2 linked regions of the Rattus norvegicus genome follow. Each later gene encodes a partner of the first gene's protein in a complex. Links are inferred from orthologs where the notes say so. Each region holds a gene or a part of one and is shown in the gene's direction. Other genes may lie near its edges.

Region 1 (3,806 bases):
AATAATCATGTTATTTTATGTCAGGGGAGTGCCCAGGAGAGACACAGACCTGCCGTTTAAGACTGTGACAGCTAGTCTATGCTTGCAGCTTGGGTCTGACCTGAGGGGACGTGGGATAGCATTCTGGCAAGCTTGAGGGTTGTGGGTGGGATGCAGGGAAACAGGGTCCTAACATGGTCCTTGGCAGGATAAAGCCCAAGTAGACTCTGAGTCTTGGGTGATGCTCTACCTAGAATATGATGTCAGAGAGCAGACCAGACCCCAGCCACTTTGCACTCTTGTCGGTGGAGACAGAAACCAGGCCTGGGGAAGCAGATATCAAGGAATCGGGCAGCTAGCTGGCTTGTGGTATTGCACCCTCCTGTAGCCTTGGGGTGGGCCTGACCTACCTGGAGGCCCAGCAGGGAGGTGTGGACTGGGGAGGGGGGGGACTAATCCCTTCTGTAGGGGCCTAGCCTTGGACTCTGATCCCAAGAAGCAGACGTCAGTGGACCTGGTCGGAAGCTCCCTCAACATAATCTGAATGCACTCTCTCTTCTTTTCCAGCTTTACCCATGAGCTACCCAGGCTACCCACCACCTGCTGGTGGCTACCCTCCAGGTGCACCAGGTAAGGGGACCCAGGGAGACCCTTTGTGTAAAAGGACTGGGGGCTGGAGAGGCCTAGATTTGGCTGACTCTGGGAGGGCCTTTAGTAACCTACAAGTGGGCAAAGGCCTGCTATACTCTAAGACTCTTTCTCATTGGCAAAAAAGCTTCAAGATTCTTTCCCTCCCCTGGCTATTCCCAGGGGGAGAGACAGGGAGTGACAACCTACAGGAAGTGTCTTCCAAAGTATTGCTACTAGCGCACTGTTTCAAGGAATAAGATTTTGACTTTTGCAGCATCAGGGTCTCCCACTGAGGCCAATACCAAGGGTTGCTATTCTTTTCTGTAACCTCTTCCCTATGGCTTCCAGGATCCCCTGGTCATAGGGTGAGACCACCCATCTGAGGCAGTGGCTCAGCTAATCTTCCTTCTGAAGACTCCCCTGCCCTGCCCTGCCCTGCCCTGCCCTGCCCTGCCCTGAAATGTTTCCTGAAAACATTTGGCTTCCACAGTAGTGAGGGAACCGTGAAGGCTTCTGGGTAAGGAGACAAGGGCTGCTGCAAGGATAGTTACTGTTGAGAGAACTCAGCAGAAATGACCAAACGGAGCAGGGAAGTTAAGTACCTCAGCCATTGTCACAGGGTACATCGAGCCAAGCTGGACCTTTCTCCGATCTGGCCGCAGTGACATCAGTCCCCTCTCCAGCAGAAACTCTGTGTCTGTGACACCATGTCACAGACTCCTCCTCAGCCCTTACCTTCACAGCTTGAGGTCACACTTCTGCAGACATGAGTGAAAGTAGTTTAGAGAGAGCCTTGCCCCAGGACACGCAGCCAGCCATGTGGTTGCTCCTTGGTACTGTCCTTTATGGTGTCCCCGTCCTCTGATATGGCTCCATTTCCCTCCATCTGAGAATCCTTAGCACATGGAGTGCATAGCTCATGTGCTCAGCTCAGCACAGAGCCTAAGGATGGATCTGTTCTCTCAGCCCTTGATGCTGGGTTTGTGAGGACAAAGCATGGCTGAATCCCCACCAGGGAGGAAGCTGCCTCCTTCCCCGGAATAAGGGAAAGCCTCTGCTGCTTCCCCTGACCCTCTTCTTCAAGTCTTTCTGGGTCTTTATAACATTGGTTTGATGCTCTGCTTGGTTTTCGAGGCAGCCCCTCTGCAGCCCTCTTTTCTGCCCTTCTGCCCTGTCACTGGGGCGGGAATGCAGAGCTGAGGATGGCTTGGTGTTGCTTTCAGGTGGTGCTCCCTGGGGAGGTGCTAGCTACCCTCCTCCCAGCATGCCCCCTATCGGGCTGGATAACGTGGCCAACTATGCAGGGCAGTTCAACCAGGACTACCTCTCGGGCATGGTAAGTCAGCCCTGGTACCCCTGGGCTGGTAGCTGCAAAGCTCTAGGGATCAAGGCTGCTTATCCCAAGCCCCCAGCGAGACCTCACACCTGTTTCTGTGGCATAGAATCCTGAGCAGCAACTTAGAATATGAGGGTCGTCACTTAACACCCACCCTGCTCTGGGCCCTCCTGTCCCCATCTATATTAGGGGTAGAGATTCTTGTCAATGATGGTCTCTTAGGTCCTTGTAGCCCGAGGGGATTGGGTTAGGCTGGTACCTGCAGGGAATTTATTGAGAATTTATTGAGAATTTCTCATGAGCTGAGCGCGAAACCTGCAAGGAGGTGAGTGTATGGGTGGAGGGCTGTTGGGGTGAACAAAGCTGTTCTGGTTGGTACTTGGTGGCCTGTAGCAGGTAGGTTAGGGTGTACTTGGTTTTATTTGTTGTTTCGCTTTTTAAAAGGATGTTATCTTGTAATCTGAAAGCAAATATGTGTTTAGGGGAACACTGCAATCAACTAGTAGAGGCCCAAACTTATGCCAGTGTTCCGTTCTAGGTGCCTGAAATATGTGAATGCAGTAAGCAAAACCTCTGGGCTGGAGAGATAGCCCAGGGGCTAAAGTGCTTGTAAAGCCAGCATTAGGCCCAGAGTGCAGTTCCCAGGACCCATGCATACAGTGCCGGATGTGCTCCTTGTAATCTAGTGCTAGGGAGGCAGAGACTGGCAGATCCATTGGACTTGCTGACTAGCCAATCTAGCCTACATGGGATCCCAGGGCCAGTGACACATGCTGTGCCCACAGAGGTGGACTTCTGCCTCCATGTGTATCTGCGCGCGCGCGCGCACACGCACACACACACACACACACACACATCTCAGTCCAGGCACACTTAGCATCTGCAGCAAGGAGACAGGAAATAGTGGAAGCTACCAGATGGCAATGTGGAACAGGGGCAGGCACTTCTGGGCACTGAGGCAAACTAGCGTTTGGTAGATGAGTTCATGAGGACTGAAGAATTCCAGCTCAGACTGGGCAGCATAGAGAGACAGGTGAAAACAGAAGAATCAAAGGAAGGGCAGGGGTGGATGAGAGAGGGAGAGGAGAGCAAGAAGATTGGAAAGTAGATACATGGCCCTGGTGGCATAGGCCTCTGACCATGGCTTCTTGGAAATCCGAGCAAGAGGATGCCAGGTTCATGACCTATTTGGGCTATGATGTGGGTTCAGGGTCTGCCTGGGCAACTTAGACATTGTCTCAAAATAAGGAGTAGAAAAGGAAAGGAAAGAAGGAAGCAGAAAGAGAGCGGGATGTTCTGGTCAGTAGTAGAATGCTTGCCTAGAGTGTAAGGCCATACACTCAAGCCCCAGCACAGGGCGGAGGGGATGGACTGGATCGCAGTAACACAGGAAGGTTCAGAGGTGCTGGTGGGGCGATGTAGACTGAGAACCTTAAGGTGGGGATTAGAAAGGGACCCTGAGCCAGGCGGTAGTGGTGCACACCTTTTAATTCTAGCACTTGGGAGTTCAAGGGCAGCCTGGTCTACAGAGCAAGTTTCAGAACAGCCAGGGCTACACAGAGAAACCCTGTCTCATCACAGAAAGTCATGGAGGAGGAGGGGGAGGGCTTAAACAAAGATCTGACACAGTAGAGAAATGTGCTGTGCAAATTTCTAGGGACAGCCAGTCCTTAAAGTGCCTGTGGGCCTGATGACCTTGGGGACAGTAAGGAGGCCTTGGTGGTTGAAGTGGGGAAGTGAGGGAAGATACAGATATTAGGACCCATTTCTCATTGGGCGTAAGAAGCTGAGGTGAGGATTCAGGTTTTTGTTCTGGGCATGTGCAAACCCCGCCGGGGCCTCACCTACTTCAACTGACTTG
Region 2 (4,606 bases), on another chromosome or scaffold:
TGACTCACACCCGCAATCCCAGCACTGGAGGGGCAGATGCAGGACAGGCATTGCAAATTTGAGGCCAGCCTCATCTACACATTAAGTTCCAGGCCAGCCAAAGACTACTTAGAGATGCTGTTTTTAAAAAGTCCAAAACCAAAACATAAATAATACTGGGTGGAAGGACTTGTGCTTATAATCCCAGCACTCAGATGGTTGAGGCAGGACTGTTTGTCCAGGAATTCCTGGCCAGCCTGGACTATAACGGGAGTTCCAGGCCAGACATTAATACCTGTTCTCGCAATGCCATCTTCTTGCAAGGTACCGGTGAGGAGGAAATGAGTTCATTTATAAATTTAAAGTGGGAAGACTCAGCTTGGCACGATGATGATCTGTAATTCCCGCCCCGCCCCGGAAAGGAGGCAGAGACAGGAGAATCACTGCAAGCTCAAGGCCAGTCTGTTCTGTACAGCAAGACCCAGTTTCAGTAAACAAAGCAACTGTGTAAACCTTTGCGGCTAAGCTTTGAATCTGATACACCAGTTAGTTTCAATCCTGGCTAAAGAGTCTACAGCTGGGGCTTGGTGGTAGAGCTAGCCCTCAGAGTTACACAGGACTTACAGAGTTAAACTAGGACTCGTCTACTGGAACCGAAATAAGGAAACCTCCCAATATTTTCTGCTGTAGGATTCATCCTAGTGGGACCTCTTTCTCACGGATATTTCATGCAAGATACTTAATTCTGTGCCTCAGTTTCTTCCCTTGTTGAAAGAGGAGAGTATCAAGAATATCACACAGTCTGCCAGGGCAACATCAACACTCCGGAGCCTGACGATGGGGGAGGAGGAGCCGTGACGAGTTAAAGGGTTACACAGTGACTTTGAGGTCCTTGTCTCTAAAACAGCATTTGGTGGCTAAGCCCAAGGTCAATGGTAGAACACTCGTTTGCCATTCACAAGATTCTGGGTTTTTTCCCCCTAGAGCCGGAGCGTGCTAAAGGGTACTTGGCACAAAGTAGTACCTAGGACAGGGACCATTTTGTAGACCAAAGTTAATGCTTCTATGTCGGAAATTAACAAGCAAAGGCAGGAGACATCGAAGGCTAACCTTTAGACCTAAAACCCAGGGTACTCAGGGAGCCCCACTAGCCCTTCGGCATCCAGCCGGCCCCTGGCTCCGCCCCTTCCCTCCTAGCCCCGCCCATACGCTCCAGTCCCGGCCTACGCTAGTCTCGCGTATTTTCAGCGCGCGCGAGCTCTTCAACTGGGGCCGGCGGTTGGTCGGGCGAAGCCATCTTCCACGTGACGTAGGGGGAACGTAAAGCCTACGAGACCACACTGTTCTTCATTTTTCAGCATTTCGGATCTAGACCCTCTCACTCCTGTATTATTTTCCTCTGTTCTGCACGCCGAAGGGCCTGCTAGTATCCGAGCCGCGTCGAGGATAGAGCGTCTCTGGCGACTCTCGGAGAGCTCCCCTCCTGACAGGAAGCAATTGGGAGAGGCCGAAGGCGGGCGAGGGCGGGAGGCGGCCCTAGCGCCATTTTGTGGGCACGAAGCGGTAGCTCGGCTGTTGTTGGGTTCCTTTCCGTCTTCGATCCTTCGTTGTGCTTCCTAGCAGCGGCCCAGTGGGTGAGTTGCTCGCCGAGGACGGCTTGCGTGCTTCGGGCGCTGCTTTGGGGAGACCTGAGACGACCTGCACCGCTGGAAGGGAGCTATGGAGCGGGGCCTAGTTGGCCTCGCGCCACCGCGTCGTTAGGGCCTAGCGCGGGCGGCAGCCGGAGCGGGGCGCCGGGCCTGCTGGGCTGTGAAGCCGCGGGCGGAAGTCTGTCGCGGCCCCGGCGCCCCAGCAGTGCTAGTCCTTAAAGGTTCTCGCATTTGAGAATTAACCGTTTTCACTATGGGACTTGGACCCACGCGGCCCCACCCGGGGCCTAGTTGAAAGGGCGGGGGTGGGGGAGAAATCAACGTTGTCTGTCGCGCATGGCCTTCTGGGAAGTGGCGGCCTACCTCAAGGAGTATCAGTCGTTGCTCCCTTGACGCCCAAGTTTAGCCAGACCTTTCCGAAAATGAGGAATAGAACTGCGGGGTCTCTGTTCTGAACGTCGGTTTTCGTGCTCCACCGGCACGGTCAAGATTTAGCCAATTGAATGCATTGCTAATTTCTTACACTTAAAGCACGTGCTAAGCCCGATTTAGGCTCTCAGGCTTTAGAATTAATGAAATGAGTTCAGAATAGTCGAAAAATACTGTAGACTGTAATCTGTGCACTCCAGGTAAGAACAGTGTTTGCCAGTGGGGAAAAAATGGGGACAGATACTTAGTTCTTAACACCTTGTTTTTGTCTGGCTTTGTAACCAACAGGCCACATGGTAACACTGTTGCAACTTTAGCACCGGAAGCATATAGTAAGGCCTGAGAAAATGGGTGAACTGTGGCGGGGGTGGGGGGATGGGGGCAGCATCACACCACCACTGGCTTTCTCTGTGTAGTCCTGACCGCCCCGGAACTCTGTAAACCAGGCTGGCTTCGAACTCAAAAATATGTTCCTGCCTCTGCTTCAAAAGTGCTGAGGTTAAAGGTGTGGGTTACTATGCTCGGCAAAAATCACATTTTTTTGTTTTAGAAAACATTTTTTCCTCGATCACCTCACCCCCCCCCCCCCAGGGATGACGAAACATTTTTTGGTGGTGCTCTTTTCAGGAAATGGGAAAAAAATAAAGTGGTGTGATAGTAACTAAGTATAAAAAAGATAATTGCTCTGATATTCTTGATCATTTCTTTTTCCTTTAAGAGATTTAAGCAAAGATGTCTGAATATATTCGGGTAACAGAAGATGAGAATGATGAGCCCATTGAAATACCATCAGAAGACGATGGGACAGTGTTGCTGTCCACAGTTACAGCCCAGTTTCCAGGGGCGTGTGGCCTGCGCTACCGGAATCCAGTGTCTCAGTGTATGAGAGGTGTCCGACTGGTGGAAGGAATTCTGCATGCCCCAGATGCTGGCTGGGGCAATCTGGTCTATGTTGTCAACTATCCCAAAGGTTGGTTAATCACTTTGGTTTTGCCATATTACTGGCTATGGTTAGATATGTATGCCATCCTAAGTGAGGCTATAATACCTGGGCATCCATGTTTGCTGGAGAATCCCTGAGGGTTTGGCCTTCCTTGGAAGAATGTCCCCTAGGATCCTGCCCTTTTCACAAACTTTGCTTAGACTAGTCTGGCAGGTCAGCAGTCTAAATAAGTGAAAATTGAAAAGCAGGATTCTTTTTTGAGGAGCATCTATTTAAATGTTAAGCCATCAGAACATAGTCATTGCCAATTTTAGGTGGTTAAAACTAAATGCCTTAAAGATCTGTTTTGTAAAAGAATTTGGCTTAGCCAGTTTTCCTCGAGGCTTTTTTCTTTTTAAGACATATGTGAGCACAGTCTCTGTCTTCACACACCAGAAGAGGGCATGGGAGCCTATTACAGATGGTTTGAGCCACCATGTGGTTGCTAGGAATTAAACTCAAGACCTCTAAAAGAGCAGTCAATGTTAACAGCTGAGCTATCCCTCCAGTTCCTCTCCCCCCCCCCCCCCCCCGACCCAGGGGGACCAAACCCAGGGCCTTGTGCTTCCTAGGCAAGCGCTCTATCACTGAGCTAAATCCCCAACCCCTCTTTTTTGGTTTCTTAAAACAGGATTTCTCCATGGTTAAACTTGATAGCTAAGGTTGACCTTGAACTCAGATCTGCCAAGTGCTGGGTTTAAAGATGTCACCACTGCCTGGCTTTTTCTTGCAGCTGTCTCATCTTTGTCTCATCATTTTAAGATTTATGTTTATTAACATTGTGTTGTATGTGCACCTTGGCACTCTGTACCTGATACAGAATGACATCCGACCTTCTGAAGCTAAAGCTGTATGGTTGTGAGCTACTGTGTGGGTGCTGACATCCAAACCCTGATCCTCAGAAGAGCAACAGCACCAGTGTTCTTTTTTTTTTTTTTTTTCTTTTCTTTTTTTCCCGGAGCGGGGGACCGAACCGAACCCAGGGCCTTGCGGTTACTAGGCAAGCGCTCTACCACTGAGCTAAATCCCCAACCCCAGCATCAGTGTTCTTAATCTCTTTTTTTCCCTCCTCAAAAAATATCAGTTGCACTAGCCCAAATTTTGAGTTCCTACAGAACTAAAGATTTTCTCTGTTTCTTACTACTGATATTCTTGAAAGTATGAGAAAACTGGGTCTGGTGGTGTACATCTTTGATTCCAGCATTCAAGGGGGCAGAGAGACAAGTGGATCTCAGAAATTGAGGACAGCCAGGACTACAAAAGAGACCCTGTGTTGGGGTTGGGATATGAATGCATGTGAGTTAGTAAATGGTTATTTTTACTATGGTGGTACTGTAACAGTCCTTCCTGTACCTGTAATCCCAACATTTGGGGCTAAAACAAGGATTGTGGATTTGAGGCCAGGCTGGGGTATGGAATGAGTTCAAGACCCGACTGATTTGTATATAGCGGGGAACCAAGGCAGCCCACCAAGTTTGGCCAATATGCAAAGACTGATGTATTTCTAAGAAATTCGGGAACATTTAAAGATGGGATCTTGTTTAGGCTGGGAAAAACTTGGATTTTG

Evidence for each region.
Region 2: the proteins of Anxa11 (region 1) and Tardbp are in contact, whole or in part, in a cryo-EM structure (PDB 9FOR), measured with the Homo sapiens proteins. The link is inferred for Rattus norvegicus from reciprocal best matches to the Homo sapiens genes ANXA11 and TARDBP. Residues at the interface, in NP_001148.1 of Homo sapiens: Gly56, Met57, Ala59, Met61, Ser62, Gly63, Phe65, Asn69, Pro71, Asn72, Leu73; in NP_031401.1 of Homo sapiens: Ala328, Leu330, Ser332, Trp334, Gly335, Met337, Gly338, Met339, Ala341, Ser342, Gln343.

The regions. Positions count from the first base shown.
Region 1 is NC_086034.1:1,447,227-1,451,032, forward strand, and holds part of Anxa11 (annexin A11), read left to right. Parts: intron 1-546; 5' UTR 547-554; coding exon 555-609; intron 610-1,832; coding exon 1,833-1,945; intron 1,946-3,806. UniProt on the Homo sapiens protein: Binds specifically to calcyclin in a calcium-dependent manner. Required for midbody formation and completion of the terminal phase of cytokinesis.
Region 2 is NC_086023.1:164,342,099-164,346,704, reverse strand, and holds the start of Tardbp (TAR DNA-binding protein 43), read left to right. Parts: upstream 1-1,500; 5' UTR 1,501-1,613; intron 1,614-1,744; exon of another isoform or gene 1,745-2,257; intron 2,258-2,775; 5' UTR 2,776-2,789; coding exon 2,790-3,027; intron 3,028-4,606. UniProt on the Homo sapiens protein: RNA-binding protein that is involved in various steps of RNA biogenesis and processing.